Linked DNA regions of Drosophila melanogaster. The gene in region 1 interacts genetically with each later gene. Each region holds a gene or a part of one and is shown on either strand. Other genes may lie near its edges. The genes, in order: Adar and Gad1.

The links.
Region 2: of Adar (region 1) and Gad1, changing one suppresses a phenotype caused by changing the other (phenotypic suppression), as found in Drosophila melanogaster (one study listed by BioGRID).

The regions. Positions count from the first base shown.
Region 1 is NC_004354.4:1,773,092-1,785,270, reverse strand, and holds Adar (adenosine deaminase acting on RNA), read right to left. Parts: upstream 7,453-12,179; 5' UTR 7,431-7,452; coding exon 7,248-7,430; intron 6,902-7,247; exon of another isoform or gene 6,753-6,901; coding exon of another isoform or gene 6,711-6,752; exon of another isoform or gene 6,660-6,710; coding exon 6,572-6,659; intron 6,457-6,571; coding exon 6,311-6,456; intron 6,182-6,310; coding exon 6,013-6,181; coding exon of another isoform or gene 5,891-6,012; exon of another isoform or gene 5,210-5,890; coding exon 5,027-5,209; intron 4,941-5,026; coding exon 4,660-4,940; intron 4,597-4,659; coding exon 4,446-4,596; coding exon of another isoform or gene 4,432-4,445; exon of another isoform or gene 4,071-4,431; intron 3,554-4,070; coding exon 3,388-3,553; intron 2,336-3,387; coding exon 2,236-2,335; intron 2,163-2,235; coding exon 1,683-2,162; intron 1,616-1,682; coding exon 1,517-1,615; 3' UTR 1,270-1,516; downstream 1-1,269. UniProt on the Drosophila melanogaster protein: Has A-to-I RNA editing activity on extended dsRNA: edits RNA-binding protein Rnp4F. A-to-I editing of pre-mRNAs acts predominantly through nervous system targets to affect adult nervous system integrity, function and behavior.
Region 2 is NT_037436.4:4,083,642-4,092,878, forward strand, and holds the start of Gad1 (glutamic acid decarboxylase 1), read right to left. Parts: upstream 5,104-9,237; 5' UTR 4,571-5,103; intron 4,064-4,570; exon of another isoform or gene 3,940-4,063; intron 2,203-3,939; exon of another isoform or gene 1,982-2,202; intron 1,889-1,981; exon of another isoform or gene 1,788-1,888; intron 1,158-1,787; 5' UTR 1,150-1,157; coding exon 1,089-1,149; intron 1-1,088. Other genes in the region: CG14989 (uncharacterized protein), read left to right, coding at 5,326-5,573, 6,398-6,501, 6,632-7,020. UniProt on the Drosophila melanogaster protein: Catalyzes the production of GABA.

The DNA.
Region 1 (12,179 bases):
AAGTAGCTTGTTAATTATAAACGGCATTGGACGAATTAAGCGGTTGAATTTTAGTACTTAAAGAAATTTTACGGCTTTAAATGAAAAATTATATCGCAAGAAGTCGGTACTCAAACCTTTTCGAGGTCGTGAGTGAGATTAAGACGATTCGGACAAACTGCAACTGCAACAAAATATGCTGTGCTGCTCTAATGTCATGCAGTCCTTTTCATTTTCGTTTTCTATGCAACTTCGACGTAATATTTATTTCACATAACTGAATGGTAGGAGACTATGGCTTTATTAGGTTACCACATTTGACTAGATCATTCGTCGTAGCATTTTCAAGTACACAATAAAAGAGGAGCCAAATCGCCTTGTTTTAAATTGGAATACGTCAATCGACGTTGGAAGAGTAGTTATTGATTTGACCATTAACAATTGTCATTTCAAATTGAACGAACAACCGGAAGAACTCAGGGCGGAAGTAAATTTAAGAGAAGGTATTATGATGTACAAGTAACCACAACTAATATAGTATGTATTTCTACAATATACGAAATAGCGATACAAGCTTCATGATAAGACTTAGTTAGGTAGTTCAAATGCCTTTATCAGCATGCTACAAAATTGGTAACTAATATATGTATTTTTATTCTTATCTGCTTTCGCTTGCATGTGATTTGTATCAACTAATATGCAAAGAAATCTACGTAATTTAATTGATAAAATGTTGTTACATAGATATAATGTTTTTCAACCAAGAACACAGTTTTATTCATTGAAAATCGATTAAAGCTTAGGTTTATATCTGATCTGAAGAAAAGTACGCGAAATTAACGCAGATTCACCTAAAATGTTCTTATGCTTATATTAAGCGTGACTTTATTATTATTATAATTATTATGTCGTTGCAAATAACATTACTTAACAAAATACATTGCTTAATCGATAAGAGAACGAATTCTAGATTTCTGTTTGGATTATTGTTATTCATTGAGTGTACTTGTTGGTTTTTGGTTTTATATATATCTTTTAACTGTTTCGTAACATTCCATATTACCATATTTACCATATAAAATACGGAAAACGAAAGACACAACTCACTTGAAAGTTTCGACAGTGTGGTTACGACGACATCGCAACGCATCGCATTCATTCAAATAACAAAACAAGTCACAAACTTAAATGATAAAGAAATTGCTTTAGCCAATTTAAAAATGAATTGATTCAAAAAAAAACGCCATAATACTCCTTTACTCAGTTCCAGCATAAAAACTACATTCTATTCTATAAATATTCTAGAGCTGTTCTTTATATTTCGAGCATAAGCATCTTTGTGCTTGCTATTGCAATGGGTACGCAAAGTTGGCAGGTTGTCAATCATATGAAGTGGTATATCATAGCGATGTGCTTGCACCCAATATAATTTGCATTCTATATCAGAATTTGTCATAAAATCTATGTCGTCTAATTCTATTAATTGCTTGCCGTTGCTGTTGTCTTTTTTAAAATTATATAATAGTGCTGAGTGCAGTCATTCGGCAAGACCGAACTCGTCTTGTTCAATGGGTTTCTTCAGCCAGCTGCCAAGGTCTTCTCGCTTGAATGCAGAGAACAATTCTAGCTTTGCGATCTACAAGAACAGATGTGGCAAACAATTTGATGCATATCCTCAAATGATCCAGCATATAAACACTCACCTGATAGTCCTTAACGTTAGCTTTGGTTTGCCCATAGTCAGTGGTTACTTTGCGGACTAAAATACCGGGCAAGTTTGCCATTAGAAATCCATACTTAACGAAAAACGCCTGCTTTGTGATGCGAGACACCTGGCCGCCAATGGTTCGACCGGTTAGCGAGTTCACCACTTCCAGCTCGGTGTCCCCAATGGTCCAATTGATCCCGAAGTTGGGAGCCTTGGCCTGATTCCGCGGCTCGGCCGAAGTGACTAGTGCCAGGCGCGGCTTGTTCAGATGGTACGGCGGTGGCAGGCCTTGAATGGACTTCTCAATTCGGCCGCAAACTGCGCGGTACATGTGCTCCGGATGCAACAGGCTTCCCAGCACAATCGAATGCAGGTACACCGGTTCAATTATGGAAGACAATAGTGAGCCTTGGATGCCCACGATGTTCCAACGGGCAATTTTATCCGAGCACGACATTGTTAGCAGGCGTTGGCCCTGCACAAAAGTCATAAATGTTGTAATGTTGATGGTTTACCACGATCTAATAGCAACCGCCCAATCGGGTTACCTGCAATACGCCATCCCACGTCTGGATACCATCACTGCTTTTCACTGGAATCGTCCCCTCACCGGACTCGATTTTGGTGCGCAGCTGGCCACGAGCTTTTCTGTTGATTGATGATTATTTCATGTATGATTCGTTGTCGGCATTATAAAATGTGAGTATGGAAAATATAATTATTAGCTTGTTCAAAAACTACGTTTAAAACATGCCAAGTAATACTGGAAACAAAACATGGTATGAATTACTTCATTATGTGGTAGGGAGTGGCGGGCGGCAAGGCTTATCATTAAAATTCATTTCTCACATATACTTCAAAGTAATCCCTCAGACCGGCACCTATTAAATCTGATTCAAATGGTAGGTACTTTTATGCTTAACCTATTTCGAACTGTCATTTTAAACGATTGTTGCAAACAAGAAAGGAAACTTCGGAGCTCCGAAGTTTGTAGACGGACATTGCCATATAGACTATGCAATAGTTTATTAATAGCGGAAGAGATGCCTTATTCTCTGCGTTCTATAACAACTGCAAGGGCATACAAATACGTATTTAACAAAATTGTGGAAGCGGAAGCCCATGTTTTGTATATCCTTGTCATCTTAATCACTTGACTGAATCGTTACAGACACATACATACAGACAACGGATGGCGAATAAAAAGCCGGGGGCAAATACATTTCTAAACAGACTCAACACAAAGAGTAAAAGCTTTAAAATACCTGATTTCTTGTATACATTCATGCTCATGTTCAAATTGATAGTTCTAATATTTAATATGAACAATTTCGTGCATTATGTTGCCACAAATTGAAATGAAAGTGTGCGATATAGTGCTTTCTTCTTTTGGCATATGCTTGCATTCCAGATTTTAAAAGTTATTTATAATGAACAAATGTCGCAATTTCATTGACGGTAACTTGTGGCATTCTTAAGCACGCAATTGTACATATACAAATATATATTTTTTTTATGCAAATACAAATTTTTTTTGCAATCTCAACGTGTTTCCTGCAGGGAAATGTCGTTTCTTATTGCGTACAAATATAAATCATTATAATTCTACTTGAATAATACAATTTAAATGTGTAAATAGGTAGAGAAAGTATTCTTCATATAAAAATATCGAGTATTTATAGAATGCAGTTTGTACCAACCTATTTGGATGTTTATCAACACCAGTGTCGTTTTCGTGAGGACTAAATATCCGTGCATCCCCACAAGGTGCTGTATTTATATACAAATGGAAATGTACCCCGGATTTTAGTTTATAAGGGTATTGCCCATCAGTATTCCTCACGAAAATCGACTGATATGCTGTGGCTAAATTTAGGAGAAAATTGAATAAGAGTAATCAAATATAAATTAAAGTAAAACGAAGTAGTTTTATGTTTAAATCTCATTCTTTTCACCAATACGCAAAGGTATACATGAAAAGAAGTCCAACAAAACAATGCGAAACATGTTTTAGTAAGAATGTTAAGCTGGGAAAGCAAAATGCCAATCGCAAAATACTACGCAACTTATACATATTTTATGATTTTGTTTTGAGCCAAAGGCAAATACCTTTTCCTATAATGCCCACTCTTATTTCCAAGTCAAAAGAACTATCATTAATTGTGTTTCCGATAGGTGAGTTTTGACTTAAGAATACTAAATGTGTTCACTGGGCCCAAATCATGCCACAGGCATTACATTGAATTCAAAAGAAACAATGTTACTTTAGAAGCTTTCCCTTTGCTACTTAATAATTGGTTTGCAATTTAGATAATAATTCAATGAAATAGTACAACTGAAATGTTAGTAATTAAGTAATTAAGGTAAATGCCATTCAAAATAAAGGATATTCGAGATTTTTAATGTTTGTGCTTAGATTTGATAATGTTTACAAATTGTTTATTTTTAAGATGGTTTGCCCTTAAAATTTAATTTTGTATAAACACCTTCTAAAACGATCAGACGGGGAAAACATAAGTTAGCTTAAAGTGCTTGTTTATAATGTGTAAAAGAAAGAAAAAATAAAAGTTTGTGCTCGTATACGGTTAATGAGCACAAATCGGAACTTTAGCTTCTATGTAGGCAATTCTTGCTGGTAAAGCGTACATTTTCGATATCAACATTTAACAACTAGATTATGCATTACTCTTAGATTTAAGTTCTATGGTATTATTAGTATACGTAAACTGAACTTAGCATATACATCAAACAACTATACCCTGATTGCACTGAAGGTCCAGCTGTGCATATAAATATTTGAGAAGACAACGCCTGGAGACTATTTCAGCATGGGAATCATTTAGGACAGCTCCGTTCACACTCATATGCTCACCGCTGACACACTTGGTGCCCGTCGAAACTGAAATAACCTGATCAAGGATGGGTTTGGCATTATAATTGGTTTCGCAATGCTTCGCTGGCTGCGGACTCACTTTGGCTTCACAAAAATTCATGTTTTCAGTCATTACAATGCCCGCTAATACCTTTCGACGCGAGTAAGCCTCCTGGCCCTTGATTACTTCCATGAACTTTTCTAAGACCAACCGACCAATCGTATCCGCGTGTATCTGAGGCAACTCCATCGATGACGACTTGTCGTCGATTGGCAGGGGTACGTTCTTCTGTGGCACCACCATTGGACTGTAGGAAATATTGCATAACGAAGCAAGTGCCGCCTTAGCTGCCGCATTTTTCGCCGTCTTTTTGGAAGGACCTTGAGAAAAATTGAGTTACACATTAGCATACATTGTATGTGGCTGGGTGGGTTGACGTTAACAACGAGATAATTCAACTACATACCTGTTCCATCGAACTTCTTTTCGTTGATTGTGACGGTCATTTTGAAGCGACAATTGTTCTGGGCGCCGTCAATATTAATGCATTCGAAATTAACGTCATTAAATAATTCGTAGAGGAGCATGACAGGACCCTTATCTGGAACCTTCTTCTGACCGTCAACAGTAATAGCACTTTTGCTGACATCTAGCAATATAAAACAAAATTAGCTGGGGATATTTGACTGCTCGTCACTCTGAAGCTACGCCTTAGTTTTCTAATCTTATTTCAGACGCAATAGTGGTCTCTAGCCATATCAGACAAACGCGAGGGGAACAATGAACAAGAAACACAAGAAACTTATAAAAACGTAGAGATCAACCAATGAAAGTCAATTTAAGTAAGCGTACGACACTGAAGCACAGAATTGGTTGCTCTATTAAGCATAATGTGCTGAATAAGGCGCATTAATAAAAGGAAAAAAAAAAAAAAAAAAAAAAAACAAGAGAAAAACAGGACTCAAGTACACCGAGGCCTTTTAGTAGCCGATTGTTGGGTTATTTATTAAAAATGGGTTCAGTAAGTAAAAAGCATTCTCTTTGGCCTATAAAAACTTCAGTCCAAATGAGCTGTGTGTGCTCTCATACAAATAACACAAACGATACCAAAATCAACATTGCGAACCTTACGGCACTTTAAACATACATATTTGCTTAAAATCATTGATAACAATTGATTTTGTGACATGGCCGATACTATTGGATATTCGGCCAAAACATTGCTATTAGATGAATGGAGACATCTTTGATATGGCCACAACGCATAAGGTTCCAGAATAAATTATATTAAATAATAAATTAAAATAATTAACAAAAGAGGATAAAAACACTAATACTTGCTCTGACTCATGCAAAACGTGGGTTGTTCAAGCGAGGTAGGGTTGGATAGCTTTTCAGTCAACATCGTCTGAATGATCTCAAACATTTTTGAACTGGACAAATTTTCAATACCATTTTCAAGATGTTCATCGCTGGTAAAGTCCAAGTTGCCCGCCGGCTTCAGAGGCGACAGAACTGCTCCATCCTTAAACTGTATAAAGCTGCGCAGTGCAGTTGCTGCTGCTTCGATGCGTGCAACTTTTTTACTACGGCCCTGGCCCAAGTATTTCTGTCCATCGACCTGTGAATTAGATTAGAGAACTTGAGATCGCAGGTTCCGTTCCTTTGATAATTCCTCAAAGCGACCTCCTCATGTTTCAGCTCAGTGGTCGATCGCTCAGAGGGTCCGATGGGTTTAAACATATCTTACCTCCACGGATATCGTGAATAGAGGTGCGTGTACCGGACCAGTCTGTGACTCCAATTTGTAAATCAGTCCATGTCTTAGCTCATTCAGCATGGCCACCGTGTTCTTCGGCTGGGGAATGCGCTCCTTGCACATTTTCTTTTTTGGATCTAGTGAAACGAAATGGCGTTGGGAATCAGTGTACTAATTCGCATTTGATCTAGCAATCTGGGATATGCCCGCATGGCACATTGGGCACATCCTAGTGCTTGGGGATGGACTTACCAGAGTATTTTGGCATCTCATAGCCACGTTTTTGTGGCAATTTTCGGTTATAGCCATTCATGTTGATATCGGATGGTGCACTCACCGGCTATGGATACGTATGCATTAATAGTGAAATCAAGAGTATTTAGGCATTTACTTTTAACACTGTACAGTACAACGAAAAGCATTCAAACTTCATTTTAAGGACCCGTTTTGTGTGTAGGCATGTAGTAACTCGCGTCTTCTAGAGGACTTGCTTTTTATGGCACCAAAGCAAGTATCATTGACACGGTTCTTCATTTGATATTACCATATATATCAAATATTGCCGAATTGAATTATGCACTTCTAGAAAGCAAAAACATGACTTAGAGACCAATCATGGTACATACATACACACAACGCTTTGTTTAATATTACGCACAACAACATCGATACCATATAGACAGTTATAGCAAGACGTTTGTAAAACAATAGCACACGAATACGTTTAGTTACAACGACTTTCTCACACATTTTGCTCGGTTAAAATATGTTCATATAATTTTGTGTTATATTTTTGGTAGTTTTTTGTGGGCTTACGGCTAAAAGGCATACAAATATTAAACTACATGTTGTATCTCTCCTTGAGTGCGAGTTTGTTTCGGTTCAGTTTGGTTTGAACACAGAGTTCGGTTGGACTAAATCTACTTACATTGCCAGGCAATGATGGGAACGTAAATCGGCGCTTAACAAAAAATCGTGACCTTTTTCCTGCATAACTAGAGGCGGCATAAAACTGTTGACGTTGGTAACCAAATGAGGATCGAGCTACTCGCATTGCATGGTGGCATGATTTGTAGCACGCACGCCCTGGTTTGTAGGACACTGGATACATTATTGGTCCACCTATTTCACTGCTATTTCTGTTGCAAGAAAACTGAGCAGCGAGCATCGAGCAACGATATGACATTCAAGACCGTCTACAACCCAGCGACTGATAAATTTCGAGTTTCCCGGCTAAGCACTGACATTTATCTGACAACGACAAAAGCCAACTGCAGCTAATTTTGTAGAAGGAACTGCAATTATGAAAAAAAAATTTTAAAAATGTACATACATGTGTAAAAACACATGTTTGTAAGTGTGCAGATAATTTGCGCGACTAGCTGCGATCTCGAGGAGCTCGATATTTATATACCCTTTTAAAGGGAAGGCACATGTGCCATGCCAGTCCGTTTCAGTGCAAGGCATTCGGGGACACTTCAAAGGGCTGGGCTGAAAAGGTATCTGATAGGATACTGGGGAATTCGTTTGATTTGCTCCCTAACCCGTACCAGTACTGGCCGAAAAAAAAATACATAATAAGCTGTGTTAGCCATCTTTTTTGAGTCGAGCATGGAATTAATTTTGAAAACCACTCTTAAGGGGGCACCCGTTCTAATCGAAGGACATCAACCTTGCTTTAATGGCAGGTGTCATTTGTTTTGCAATTGAACAGAAAGCACGGTGCATGTCGAAAATTGAGATGCTTTGGCGCTGATAAAACTTTCGCAGACGCCCAGAAGGCAGATTTCGTCGAATTAATGAAGTCAAAATGTCAGAAAGACATTACCAACCCTACAGCATGAACGAATTTACATTAAAATTTGGATGTCGGTGGAGCGGTTATTGCTGCAGCAGCTGCAGCACAAACTCAGAGATGCATGAGTTGCATTGGCGTATCAAAATCTGCAGTAATCAACAGCAACATTTTAAAATAAATATCTTGCGAAAATGTGTGCGTGTACATATACTAAGACTCCGGGATATACGATACACATTTGCGGAATCACTCAGTTCGAAGAAATTATATTTATGGTCAAAGTTTGGAGCAATTGGCGCTTGCAGTCTCGTAGTTTATTTATGTGCGCATAGGTGGCTAAAAGGACAGCTCACCGAGCTGCACGGCAAGTACGAAGAATACCTTTAAAATTTCTTTATAATTTCAATAAGTAGATATATTGCCTGCCCAAAGTGGGAAACAATAAATGTGAAATGCCCAAAGTGTGTTGTGAACAAAGCACGAAATAAACAAGTGAAACAATCGGAAACTCGTTAGGCTCGAGAAATATCCTCTGTCGCTGTTCTGACCATTTCGAATTCATTACAACATATTTATATAACACAGCACCTGTGTGTTGAGTGTCATTTGTCGGACAAGTGATGGCGAAAATTGTAAATGTCTAGTATAATAGGACCGGACCGGCCAGCTTCAAGTACTAATGAACATCAAGTACAACATCAAGCATAATTCCGTTCTTAAATTATGATCAGTTTTTTCATTTTAAATAAACACATCGAAAAAGAATAATAAGAAATTCCTTTGGGGAACTTAGGTGGTGTTGTGATTCATAGCAAAAGAAATGTTGAAAATAAAGAGGATCTATAGGAAAGCAAGGTATAAAGTTACCTACCATTTAATCATAAGTATCTTATGCTATTTAAAAACGAGTTGCAAAAATGGAAAACGGAACAAGAAAGTACACCAGAATATAATGTAATTGTCCTAAAACTACGAATCATGCCATATGGAGTATAATAATTGCACATAACTACGCCTAATATCATGCTATATTGTTTAATAGTAATAATACGTTTACATTTATGCATAGGAGTCTACGGCAAGATCAAACTGAACCATATCGCTTCCAGCCAATATGCAGTCTTATTACCATGAAAGACCCAGAATAACCCCGGTCCTCGTGACCAAAGCCTCTTACTTCCTGGATGAAGCCTCTTACTTTGCTTCACTGCCTTTAAATTTCTGACTATAGTAGAGTTCTTAAAAGTAAAGTCCTGAAATCGACCGATTCAATCTAAGCGTACATATGCAATTTTGCGTAAACTTAACATGCAAGCTGTGTTGGAGAATTCGTAAAAGTACATTTACATACATAAACATCGCATAAGCAAGTTATAAAGAAATCTAATTTTTAATGACGATTTTCGTCTACTTACGTGCTGGGGAGAATTGTTATTAGCGCTGTTTAACATGACTCTGGAATCGAATTTCATGTACTTTATATATCTTGGTGAAATCTGTTGTGCTATTTTAATGGTGATTTATGATTTAAAGGACTATGATGATGAACTACCAATATTCAGAAAAGTAACATCAAACCGATATGAACTGAAGCAGAAGCTCTTTGTTAACAACATAAAATTCAATGCTAATAATTAGTCTATTAATTAAATCAAAGCTACGAATCTAGTCCCACCTGAGAGTATGTAAGTCTAATAAGAATTTCTCCTCTCCTTCCGATTGGATTCTGTTTCATTTTCGTGTCCATTTAGAATGCAGTTCGTAGGGCTTAGGCATACAATGTGGTATGTATGTAAGTATTTACCTATCTATCTAGCTACCTACCTATATATATCTATCTATTTATCTATATATCTATCTATTTATCTATATATCTATCTATCTATCAGTCAAATCAGATCATTGATTGGTCTTGGTCGGGACGGCAAGATATAAAGACATCGCATACAATCTCGACTCTTGAAACTAGAAAACTGCTCATAAGCATGATTATAGGCATGCGTATATATGTATGTACATTCCACATGCATGCAACATTAAACATACGTACTTGTATGCCCAAGTTACACGATTCTATCGATTTTCGTACACCCACACTCTCGTGAATTGGCCAATCGGGCCCATAGCCGTCGTAGCCATCGACTGGCTGGCCAAAAGTGCACTACACACAGTATACAACTTATGCAGGCACCTTACTATCTGCTCTTTTATGCACTAAGCTCTGCGCCACATTAGGTAATTACACATGGTCAGATGTATCTCGTGTTCTTCCTCTACGAGCCGCGCATTCTGAATGAATCTGAGTCTGAACCTGGATCTCAATCTGTAGCTGTATATGTATCTGAGCGACTTTTGAGACTCGCTGCAAGAATGGATGCAAACTTATTGGCCTATAGCTTGTTGGCTTGTTTGTTTCGCTCAAGAAAGTGAAATGCAAAGTGAACAGGGGAAGTTCGCGAGGGGCAGATGAACGCAATTCACTGCAATGCAGCAGTGAAGCCTTTCCCTTCTTCTTTCCTTCCTCTCTTCGCCACTCGCTCCTCTCTCTCCTCCTCCTCTTTCGTTCTCTTCCGCTTTGATGTTGGTCGGAATCGGAATGTTACGTCGCATGTGCTTTTGCATGTGTGTCCCTGTGTTTGTGTTTTGTTTTTTTGTTTTTGCCATGTAGCTACGTAACACCCCTTATCCACTACCCACTATTCACTATCCACTTTGCTCCACCTATTATGCCGTTTTGCGGCACTTATCGGGGGGAATTGCTCCTATTTCGGGACACAATACCTATAAAATCTATTGACTTCCGTCGCTTGCCTTTTATTTGCATGAATGCGATACGCGATATACAACGACACATACACACACACACACACACACGGCTGCAGATGTGTGCACATGTATATTGGGTTCTGTTCTTTTCTGGCTACTGCATACCTTTTTGCTCTAATTATTGATTTTTACTTCGCTGTATCGGCAGAGTGTCATTTGTTAACGGTTCTGCTCTCTTCGTTGGGCAGCCGATTCTAGCCTCCTCGCTTCGCTGTTTCGTCGATTAGGATAGGATTTGTGTGGCTGCAACTGCAGTGGCGTGCAATTGCATATTTCACTTGGCGGCACTCGGGAGAAAAAAAAAAGCACCCACGTACACGCACGGACACACGCACACACTTGCAAGCCCTTGTGACACACACACTGACATGGCCGGACAAACAAATCAATGCTTGTTTGTTTTATCTTCGGTGCGGTGCTGCTCTTTTCTCTGGCCGCGCGTTTACTTCGATTTGGTTCCTCGATGCGGATTAAACATAAATCGCGTTACACTTGTTCAAATCTGCACATTTGCTGCATTACATTGCATTAGAAAAAATAACAATGACCCTTCGTCGCTTTTTTGTTGCTCGGAATCTAGCGATGTGAGCAGTTATCACAATATCTAATATCGATACTTACATCGTAATGTTACTGCTCGAATCAGTCCGCTTATATCGATATTTTGGATATCTGCCAACAGTAGCTGTTAACAAAATTTCCCACCGTAGAAATGAGTAGTATTAGTTGTAGTAATTGTATGATTTGTTAGGCACATTGGTCTAAAAAAAATGGTTTGCATTTAATTCACCTTCTTTCATACATTAACATTCTTTACCTTCAATTACAAAAACTATATTATCCAGAGCATGGTAACAGAATTGTTGGAAAACGTTATACTAACGAGTGCCTGTTTTAAGAGTTACTTTTCGAACAATTCACTTATAATACTAAAAATTAACTTGGTGTACTTAAACTTACACACTACTTTGCGGAAATTGTACCCCAATTTGTGAATATATTGTGAATATACTGCAACAGTTTGTTTAGGTACCTAACGATTTTACTTATCCATTTATCTTGTGTGTTTAAAATTAATTTTACTTTTAACTGATATAGATTTTTTGGTTTCCATACATAATTAATCAACTTTTAATGAAGAACTTTTTTCTTGCGTATATATTTTTCAGAAATGGATCCCGTTTAATTTTGCATGAAATCTAACAGGCTTCAAATACTAAAATTCAAATAGCTACA
Region 2 (9,237 bases), on another chromosome or scaffold:
GTTGGCCTTTCAATCTGAGGCACGCGTCTGCCGCCTCGGGGAGAGTCCTGCCACCTTTCTGGTCCTTGTGCAACACACATACATACATATGTACATCGAATGGTGGTGGTTTGTTTGACTTTCTGTTCTGTTCTGTCTGTTTGTTGCGTGTTTGTCGAGCAGAAATCTGTTACAGGGCAACAGTCGCCAGTTTCACGCTTCACCAGAGGCAGCAAACGCACACGAAACACAAGGAGCTTCCAGTGCGGGGCCATTTATCAAGGACACACGAGTGTCCTGGACAGCCCACCGCTTGTCCATGTCCTTAAACAGCAGACTCCTGTGCGCCAGTTGCCCAGCTTGCCCATTTTCTGTTCCCTGTTCCTGGCAGTGTCAGTTTAACACTCGTTTATTATTTGCCCAGCCAAAAGCGATGCGATTCGAGTGCAGTTATGCGTAGGACCAATGTTTGCCAGGATTATTACCAAGGCGAAGTAATCGCCCCCCAGACACATGATCGCAAAATATGTTTCTTGTGCCGGAATGTGACAGGTTGGAGTTGCACAATTCGAAAATAAATTCTTGCTCTCGGCTAGCTCTAAGTCCTTGTTTTCTTGCAATTTATGGTTATGACAAGGAGCTACCCGATGGAATATTAATTACTTATCGACAAAACGCTGCAGATACAATGTACAATACTTATACCAAAAGGGAAAAATACTTTTACCTCATTACTTTTACCTCAGATGCCTCAGATACCTCAGCAAAGTGTTTACTATCTGACAGTCAGGGAACTTAACTGTAGGGTCCTTGTTCTATTCCTTGCTGTGTTGTATAACCAAAGGACTTTTTTAAGCATTTTGAAATCTTATCAAAATAACATTTTTAAAACAAAACAACGATAATACCACGCTTTCTAATATTTCGTATCTAAAACTAATATAGGCTCTTTAAAATCGGGTTACAAAAGGATTTTTTGGTAGACTAAAACAAACCTGAGTTCTCTAGAGAGTAAATATACATACGCATATTTAATTCATCTTCCCGAATCTGTTTTCTTATATTGTTTATGAAACATTATATTATTTTAAATTCAAATAGATACTCACCATATGCCGTCAGTTTGCCCGTCCTCTCGGACAGTTTATACCCGTTGGGATTCAGCGACATTTTCTCCTCTGAAAAGATACAGAGTAAAAAACGTGATGAAATTATTAGGGGGGAAACGCAAAGTGCGGACTCAGCAAGATAAGGAAAAATGGAGCTCGGCCAAATGAAGTGAGTCAATGTTATGCAATCGACCGAAGGCCGTGGGTCCTCGGGGCAGGTGTTACATAAGTCCTTGCACTTCGAAAGCCCCCATTTTCCAACAACCCACACACACAAATTGCATAACCAAGACAAGCAAACAAACAAACGGTGCGAAAATGCAATGGGCGTGTAAATAAACAGAGTGGAAAATGGAAAATGGAATGCGGAGTTTGGCGAACGAGAAGGGGGGGGGGGCTGTTGGTACAAGGACAACTGAAGGGCAAGCTCCAAGTGGGAGGTAAGTATTTGGTATATGCCACATATACACGGATTTCAGGGCCCCTCCTTTTCACTTTTGGCGCCATCTGCTATTGCGCAGTGAGTGTTAAGCCAATTTCCTGCGACGGAACGAACATATATAGTATATATATATATAAGCTTATATATATACATAAGCTTGATTTACATGGGGATACAGACAGCGCGACAGCTGCAATTAATGGCGAAAACCTTGGACAGTGCGAAACTTATGCAACAAAATCGTCTGGGAGTCTTACCGATAATCCTGCGGATATCGTCGATATACTGCTTTAGGTAATTCACTTTGACTGTCTGCGGGGGGCGACGAATCACCGACGAGGCTTTCGAAAAGATATAGCTAGAGGAATGTGCGAGTACGAAATGTATCGAAATGTATCTCTGAGATGGAGCTGCGATTAACTACTTGTGGTCTAAACCAACGACAACTTACAGAGTTCTCTTCTTCCTAGCAACAACAAAAAACACTGAAAATCACTCGCGAAACGGAGGAGCAACAATTCGCTGATTGAACGGACTGGGAATTACTATTGGATTTGAAATGTATATATATTTTCACAGGTTCACAGGTTTCGGGCAACTTTCACTTTCGGTTTGGGAAACTTAGGGAACTGAGCAGCCTACACTCGCTGACGATCTGCGGAGCTATGAGCAGCAGCATCCGCCTGAGTTGCCTACGAAGCTTTTCGCATCCAAAAAATGGCTGCCCATATACCACTACAAGCGTACCTATGTATATACATACTACTCCTCAATCTCTTGCATAACCTTCAGCGACAACGACAACAACAGTGGGGCTGAGGAAAATGCGGGAAATTCTCCGGGTGACGTCATTGATTTTTCGGAAACCATCTTTGTTAAGGCCATTTTGCGTGGGCGGAGCTTCGGCCATGCGCGCCCCAAAGTATCCAACAGATACACATGAAATATGTGCGCACGCCTGGTGAATGCTAAAGAAATAATAAAACGGGATAAAGGGAAAGGAAAATATAGATTGTGATGGGGCGACCAAATGAAAAGCTAATTAACAAACTAATTTTGCCACTGTTTCTGACATTTACAATGACCCACAACTTTTTATGAGAGTTTCCTGTCGAATGAAACAAAAAAAAATAACCCTATAATTACTTTCATTTCCCGCATATATGTACATATGTGCGCTTAGATATAGAAGCCAAAGCATATAGATTCCTGGTATATAGAACAAAAACGAAATTTGGGTCAAAGCTAGGCCGCCCGCCCACTTGGGCTATGCAAAATAGATATGTATCTCAGAGTGAAATTGCATCATTTCCAATAGAACGCGTTTCGTAGCATACTTTTGAGGGCCAGAGAACATCTATGGCCATGTTATGCAACTTGGGTAAAGAGCCCAGGAGCAGCAGGACCAAAAAGGACGTCCATCAAACTGGAGAAGCTTAAACAACGAGAACCCTAGGAATACTTGCCGCAAAAGAGTTCCACCCACTCCACTTCCATTCTTATCTGACACACGGAGCAGCTGGCGTAGGATGTTACCACACACTTGGCACTTGGCACTTGGTCCTGCTGCTGCTCCAGCTCCTGCTCCCTGGGCAGGATCCAATGCGTCAGCGTATTTTCGTTGCGAGGGCTCTGGCACTTGAAAAGTGTCTTTCGATGTAACTGATTGCAACTTAAGAAGGCCATTACAGTGGCAATAACTCCCTTGCTAGTCCCTGTGATCCATCTTTTTTATTGAATGCCTGCAATATTGGCAAAATGAAGTCGACACTTGTTCAACATGACTTTCAAAACATTCTCATAGGGCGTAGTGCATTACTTTGTAGCACTAGCTAGAAGAAATCCAACGGCAGTTGCAGAAAGTCCATAAAGCCGTAATTGCACAACGAAATCGTTACTTTTGATGTGGCAACAACTGTGTGAAAGGACTTTCTTCGCAGTTTTTTAATTGTTAATTGCTCAATTGCTTTCTTGAAACAATAAAAACATTTTAGAAGACCTTAAGTGACAAATATGGCGCCTAATAGATATGAATTTGCACCCTACGCCTTAACATCTGCGTAACCCTTTAACAAAACCCATCCATCACAAGTGTCAGACAAATATTTCTGATACAAAAACAGCTCATGGTATTTAGAACCACTAAACATGGCGAAATAAAGTCGCCTGCTATCTGAAAAGCACTTCAACGGCATGTGCTACCAATAATAATTAGGCACTCGGTCTGCACTTATCGCAGATATATGGCAAACAGACCAGTCTGAAAAGGAGGGGGGGATCGGGTGTATCTGCGATAGTCTATCCTCTGATTCGCACTTGAATCTATGACACCGGCAGATAAAGCCATCAAAAACATTTATTATTAGTAAGTGGGATTTTCGTTTGGGCCGGTTTGGGCTCAGTTGAACAACTGCTACCATTTGTAGCGGACAGCTTTATATAAATCCCGTCGAGTTAAGGATTTAAGCATTTCGAGCGGAGCAGGTGCCACGAACAATCGGATTTAATTGAGTCAAACTTTTGGAAAAGCACAGTGAGTTGTAACAGGAAACGGAAACAGAAACAGAAACAGTAACAGAAACAGCAGCAGACATGGACAAACAAAAGGATTATGGGTTTAAGCCATTTTAAGAGCGATGTTTAAAATACTCTCAAAAATAATGGTTGCAATACAAGCATGTCGCCTTGCAGTCCCTTTTAAAAGTTATATGTACATTTTTAAGGAATATTTTAGTTAAAAGAATAGTCATATTACTAAAAATAACAAAGCTTTGAAGAACTATTTATTTGATTTTAATCAAACTAGAAAGCTGAAAGGGATTTGTAAAATTATCAAAAAATAAAACTATGCAGTCATTAAATATTTAATACTTCATTATAAACATTCCTTATTATTAATGATAGCAGATAAATAAATTGAGATAGATACTTTGCATCAGTAGAAATAGTTAGACAGGATCGATACCCTTTCATAAGAGCACAACTAGCGAATGGAATTGAACAATGAGATGAGCTCTCGACCAGAAAATAGGATGCTCACCTGGCTGTGATTGCACGTAGCGCAAGTAGGCCCTGTAACCCAGATAGGCGAAAATGTTTGGAGTCAAGTGCCACCCACGGATGCGGATGGAGCTGGGAGCTTGGGTCTGCTATTCTCGGGCGGCTAATTCAGACCGGGCGTTTCTGGCCAGGGCGAAGCGTCCTCTTTGGCACTCGACTCTCAACTGCCAGCCAGAGGCATCAGAAGCACAGTGGGCCAGGGAATGCTCCGCACCCCGGGGGCCATGAACATTTTTCGTTGCCCGTGGAAAACAAATGGGAGTTTGGGAATTTCGACTGTTTAGCCTGTCATTACGCTGACAAAATAAGATTCCAGCAGGTTGGTTAGCTGAGGCATTTATGTGAGGTATTTTCGACGAGAATCCCGTTGCAAAAGCGTTGTCAGGATGCCAGAATGCCAGGATGCCAGGTGGGAGTCTCAGTTGCGTTCGAAAGACAGGCGATTGCATAACCCCTTTCGGTTTGGCAAATCAAGCGAATGATATTCGGATAGCAAATGCTCGGGATAACAATGGTGTAAGGATTAGGCCCCGCAGGCAAGTACCCCAAACGCTGCTTTTTGCTGCCTATTTTTGAGAGCGCGATAATTGCATTTCGAGCACAATTGCTCCTATTGTACGGGGCCAAACAGTCTCCATTTTGGCCCAGTCCTCCCTGGAGGATAATACGCCCCAAACCAGCGTGAAAAACCCATCCCCCAGTTCCGTAATCTACCCATCTCTTTTCAGCCCAGCGATGGGAGAGCGTGTTGAAAAGCGACAGAGAAAAATGGGGGGATGTGGATTACAGCTCGTCATACCATTGGTCACAATCCTCATCCTGGCTGCGCAGGCGCAGGCTGTGACGTCATCGCCCGTCCTGAAGGACGACACTTTGGGGGATGCTGCTCCGACGGCAGCGCATTCAGCAGCCAAAATCCTTGAAGACGTCCAAACCATCAGCGCAGTTCAGGATTGGAGTTTGCTGTGTAAAGAGCTCTGCGGGTAAGTTTCGGATAAACAGCAATCGAAAACTCTAGGAATTACTGAAAGTAAGGTGCCTCGGCGCAAAGTGACTCAAGTGTTTATTGTTGGCAAGTGCAGGTTTCCCCCCAACACAAAAAAAAGTGCAAACTAATAATGATAATAATACGACACATTTACCAACTAAAATGTTGGCCTTGAGAAATCATTTGCAAATCGCGTCGGCCTTTCAAGTGGCTTCCATCGAGGTTTTCCCACAATCGCGTGTGTCAGGGAAATATAATCCGCATTCCTGATGATCGGTGGCTATATCAATGATTCGTGACTCGACTTTTGTGGCGTGTGTGCAGTAGTTTGTCAAGTGCCAAATATGTTAAGTATAAATGGCACTCGAAGTCGCCAGAAGTACTGTGCTCACTTAAAAAATTGAATAGGCTTTAAAAAATAAATTCTAAATGTCGGGTCAAAGCTAATCAAAATTATTTCACAATTTTACGATATATAATTTACAAATATTATTAATTAGAACATTTTGGCTTGCGTTTATATTTAAAATATACTCTGCATTATTTTTTAATTTGGTGTTTAATACTATTTAAAAATGTTTTGAAATAAATATATTTTTTACAAAAAAAAAAAACAGTTTATCAAGTCGAGATTTTCCTAGATCATTTGTGCTATTTAAAACTATGTTATCTGTAAACCTAGTTTCAATAACAATTATGCATATATCATGGTTCTTAACTTGGTAATGCGAGTGTCATATACTGTCATCTTAAATCTTTTTTTTTTTTAATTTACTCTGCATTGCAATTTAATCAGCATTTTATGGTTGATCCTTGCAGAGCTGGCCTGGGCGTTGCTTCAACGCCTGATGTGGCCAAAAACACAATCCTGAGACCGGAGACGGATGTGGCCAAGTGCCGGCAACTGTGTGGACTGCCTAGGGGTAAGTGGAAAATAATATATTGAAACTCTATTCAAAATATTATACTTTAATGATTATTATGGTCGAACTTAAGGTTAATTTGCTTTTTGAAAAATAAACATACTAATCAAATGCACTTATTTACTTCCAGCTAAAGCGGGCGACTTGGTCTGCTCGAGCTTTTGTGGTCAGATGGGTCGCTCCCTGCCCGGATGCAGTCCCTGCCAGCAGGAGGTGCGCAGGATGAGGGTGATGAAGGAGCGGAAGCAGGAGGAGGAGAAGCAGGAGGAGGTTCGAAAGGACGAGGAGAAGGCCAGTGGAGTGCTGGGCGATCCAACACACGGTTCCAGAGCCGCGGAGAATGCCGAACGGAGAGGATCGGTCGAGGAAGCAACAGTGTCCGCAGCTACCGTGGCAGCCGCCTCGGAAACGGACACAACCACTCCGGCACCGGACTGGGACGAAGTGTGCAAGGTGCTCTGCAAGACTGGCGATGGCGGGTCTTTGTGCAACTGTGATTTATCGCCGTTCTTCAGCTGAGCGATCCCCACCTTCCTGAGGGGATCGCTCCCGATGGAGGCGCTAAATCACAAAACCATATATATGGATCGAGAATTATCTGATTATCTGATGTTTTGTTGTTCTTCGTTTTTGAACTTCAGTTAGTGCTATTGTTGTCATGAAAAAGTATCTCCCATATATAATCTATATCGGAAAACGTGTTACGAAAGTTTAGTTAAATACTGTAAAGAGATAAAAACAAAAACTATAGAAAAATCAAAAAAAAAATCAAACAATTCAATATAAATAATACATAGAGAAGAATATACGATGAGGAGGAGGAGCAAGCAAACAAAAAAAATTCCCTATGCGAATCAATTAATTTGTAACTAATTTCAATTACAACTAACTATAGAAAAGCTATAGAGTAAGCAAGGGGGGGGACTTTACCCCCCACACTCGAGAAACAGCAGAATCACGCAGGGCTTCCAGTGCGTCGCCTCGGAGGATGAGGATGCCCTCCCAAAAGGCATCCGAAATCCCCGGGACGGACACAACCCGTATTTAGGTGATTGGTCAAGGAATTGGACTGAGGAGACACAAGAAGAGATATATGAAGATGAACAACCAATTAATATCAATGTACACAACATATCGTGCGGTAAACACTACCCAAAATCAAAAAACAAAAAAAAAAACACCCAATCACATTTATTTGGAATACACCTTGGTTCGATGGAATCAGCATATCAATTTACCACGAGGCAAAAACAAGTTGGTATCTAAAGAATTTCCTTTGTTTTGGCTTACAAGTTATTGGCGAATCTAAAGCATTGAGATATTTCAAATCAGCATCAATTAGGAGTGTCGCAATTAGGCCAAAGTGCCAACCAAGAGTTTAGTGTTGGTTACGGCCCTTAAACGCAAAAGCAACATTTATAAAATATATACTTGTACTTACTAACGAATAACACATGTAATTGGTCTATATATATATCCACAAAATGAGTTGCGATTGCAAATCAGAAACTCAGACGGGCTATACTGGATCTACCAGACCCGTATACATCATATATATATATATATGAATATATATATATACATAAAGCTGTAAACCATAGTTACCATAATATCTAGGTGTCATATTGTTCAGCATAAATAATCGCATATGATGTATTGTATGCATATTATCTGTGTGTTTGGAAGACATTTTTTCGCATTGCATTGAAATGGAAGACAACTTAAATCGCATTCTGGAAGACATGCGTTGCGGCAGCGCCAAAAAGATCGGCCAGCTGCCAAATAGTTTGTAAGATATTCTATATAATAATAATAATAATGAGATTTTCGATTCGAGCTCGAAGATATAGTCAATACAAGCACACGTTGTTGTGGCAAACGCGACGCTGTGACTGACAATAATTAACTATAACTTAGCAGGAGAAGAGCAGGCAAGGAAGTTCGCATACTCAGTGTCTATATATCAGTACTATTGCTAATATTAACCATGCACTACTACTAATCAAGGAAAATGGAAAATAATTAATAAATATTGTATTGCACCAAAGTTATAAGGCAATTTTCAGAGCACATTCATTGATAACCTAATGCGGCTTCAGTATGTATATCGATGTGTAGCAAGTTAATCACTCAGTAATTAATATACGAAATGCACTTTACATTTATGTATATGTATATGTGTTAGGCGTTGCGTTTCTGCCATGAATACAGCGACTAGCGAACCGATCACACGGATTATGCCGGAATAATATCCATAATTCAATAATATATATATACATATATATATATATTTATAACCAACAGACACATCATCATCATCAATTACGAATACCGAGTCGAAAACCGTTTCGAACCGATTATGCCGTTTCGCAGTTTCGTTTCTTTAGTTTTATCCAATGGCCAGGCATTATCTTAGTCGGTAATGTCTGGGGCTATGGTTAAAATAACACAGAAAAATAGATTTAAAGGCAATTTCACAACAGATAACCATAACAGCAACTACACAACCAAATAAAGGCAATTATTATCTTATATACGTTAAATGTTGTAAAGCCCCTCTAAACAAAAAAAAAAACAAGAAAGCCTGTGTTTTATTGGGATGGCTAAGGGGCTCAATAAATATGCAATTCAATTTTTTATTTTATTAATTTTATTACATTTTTTACAAATACCCCGAGTTTTCATTTAATTTGAATAACAAGAACTAACGTAACGTACAATTTGAATACACTGCTT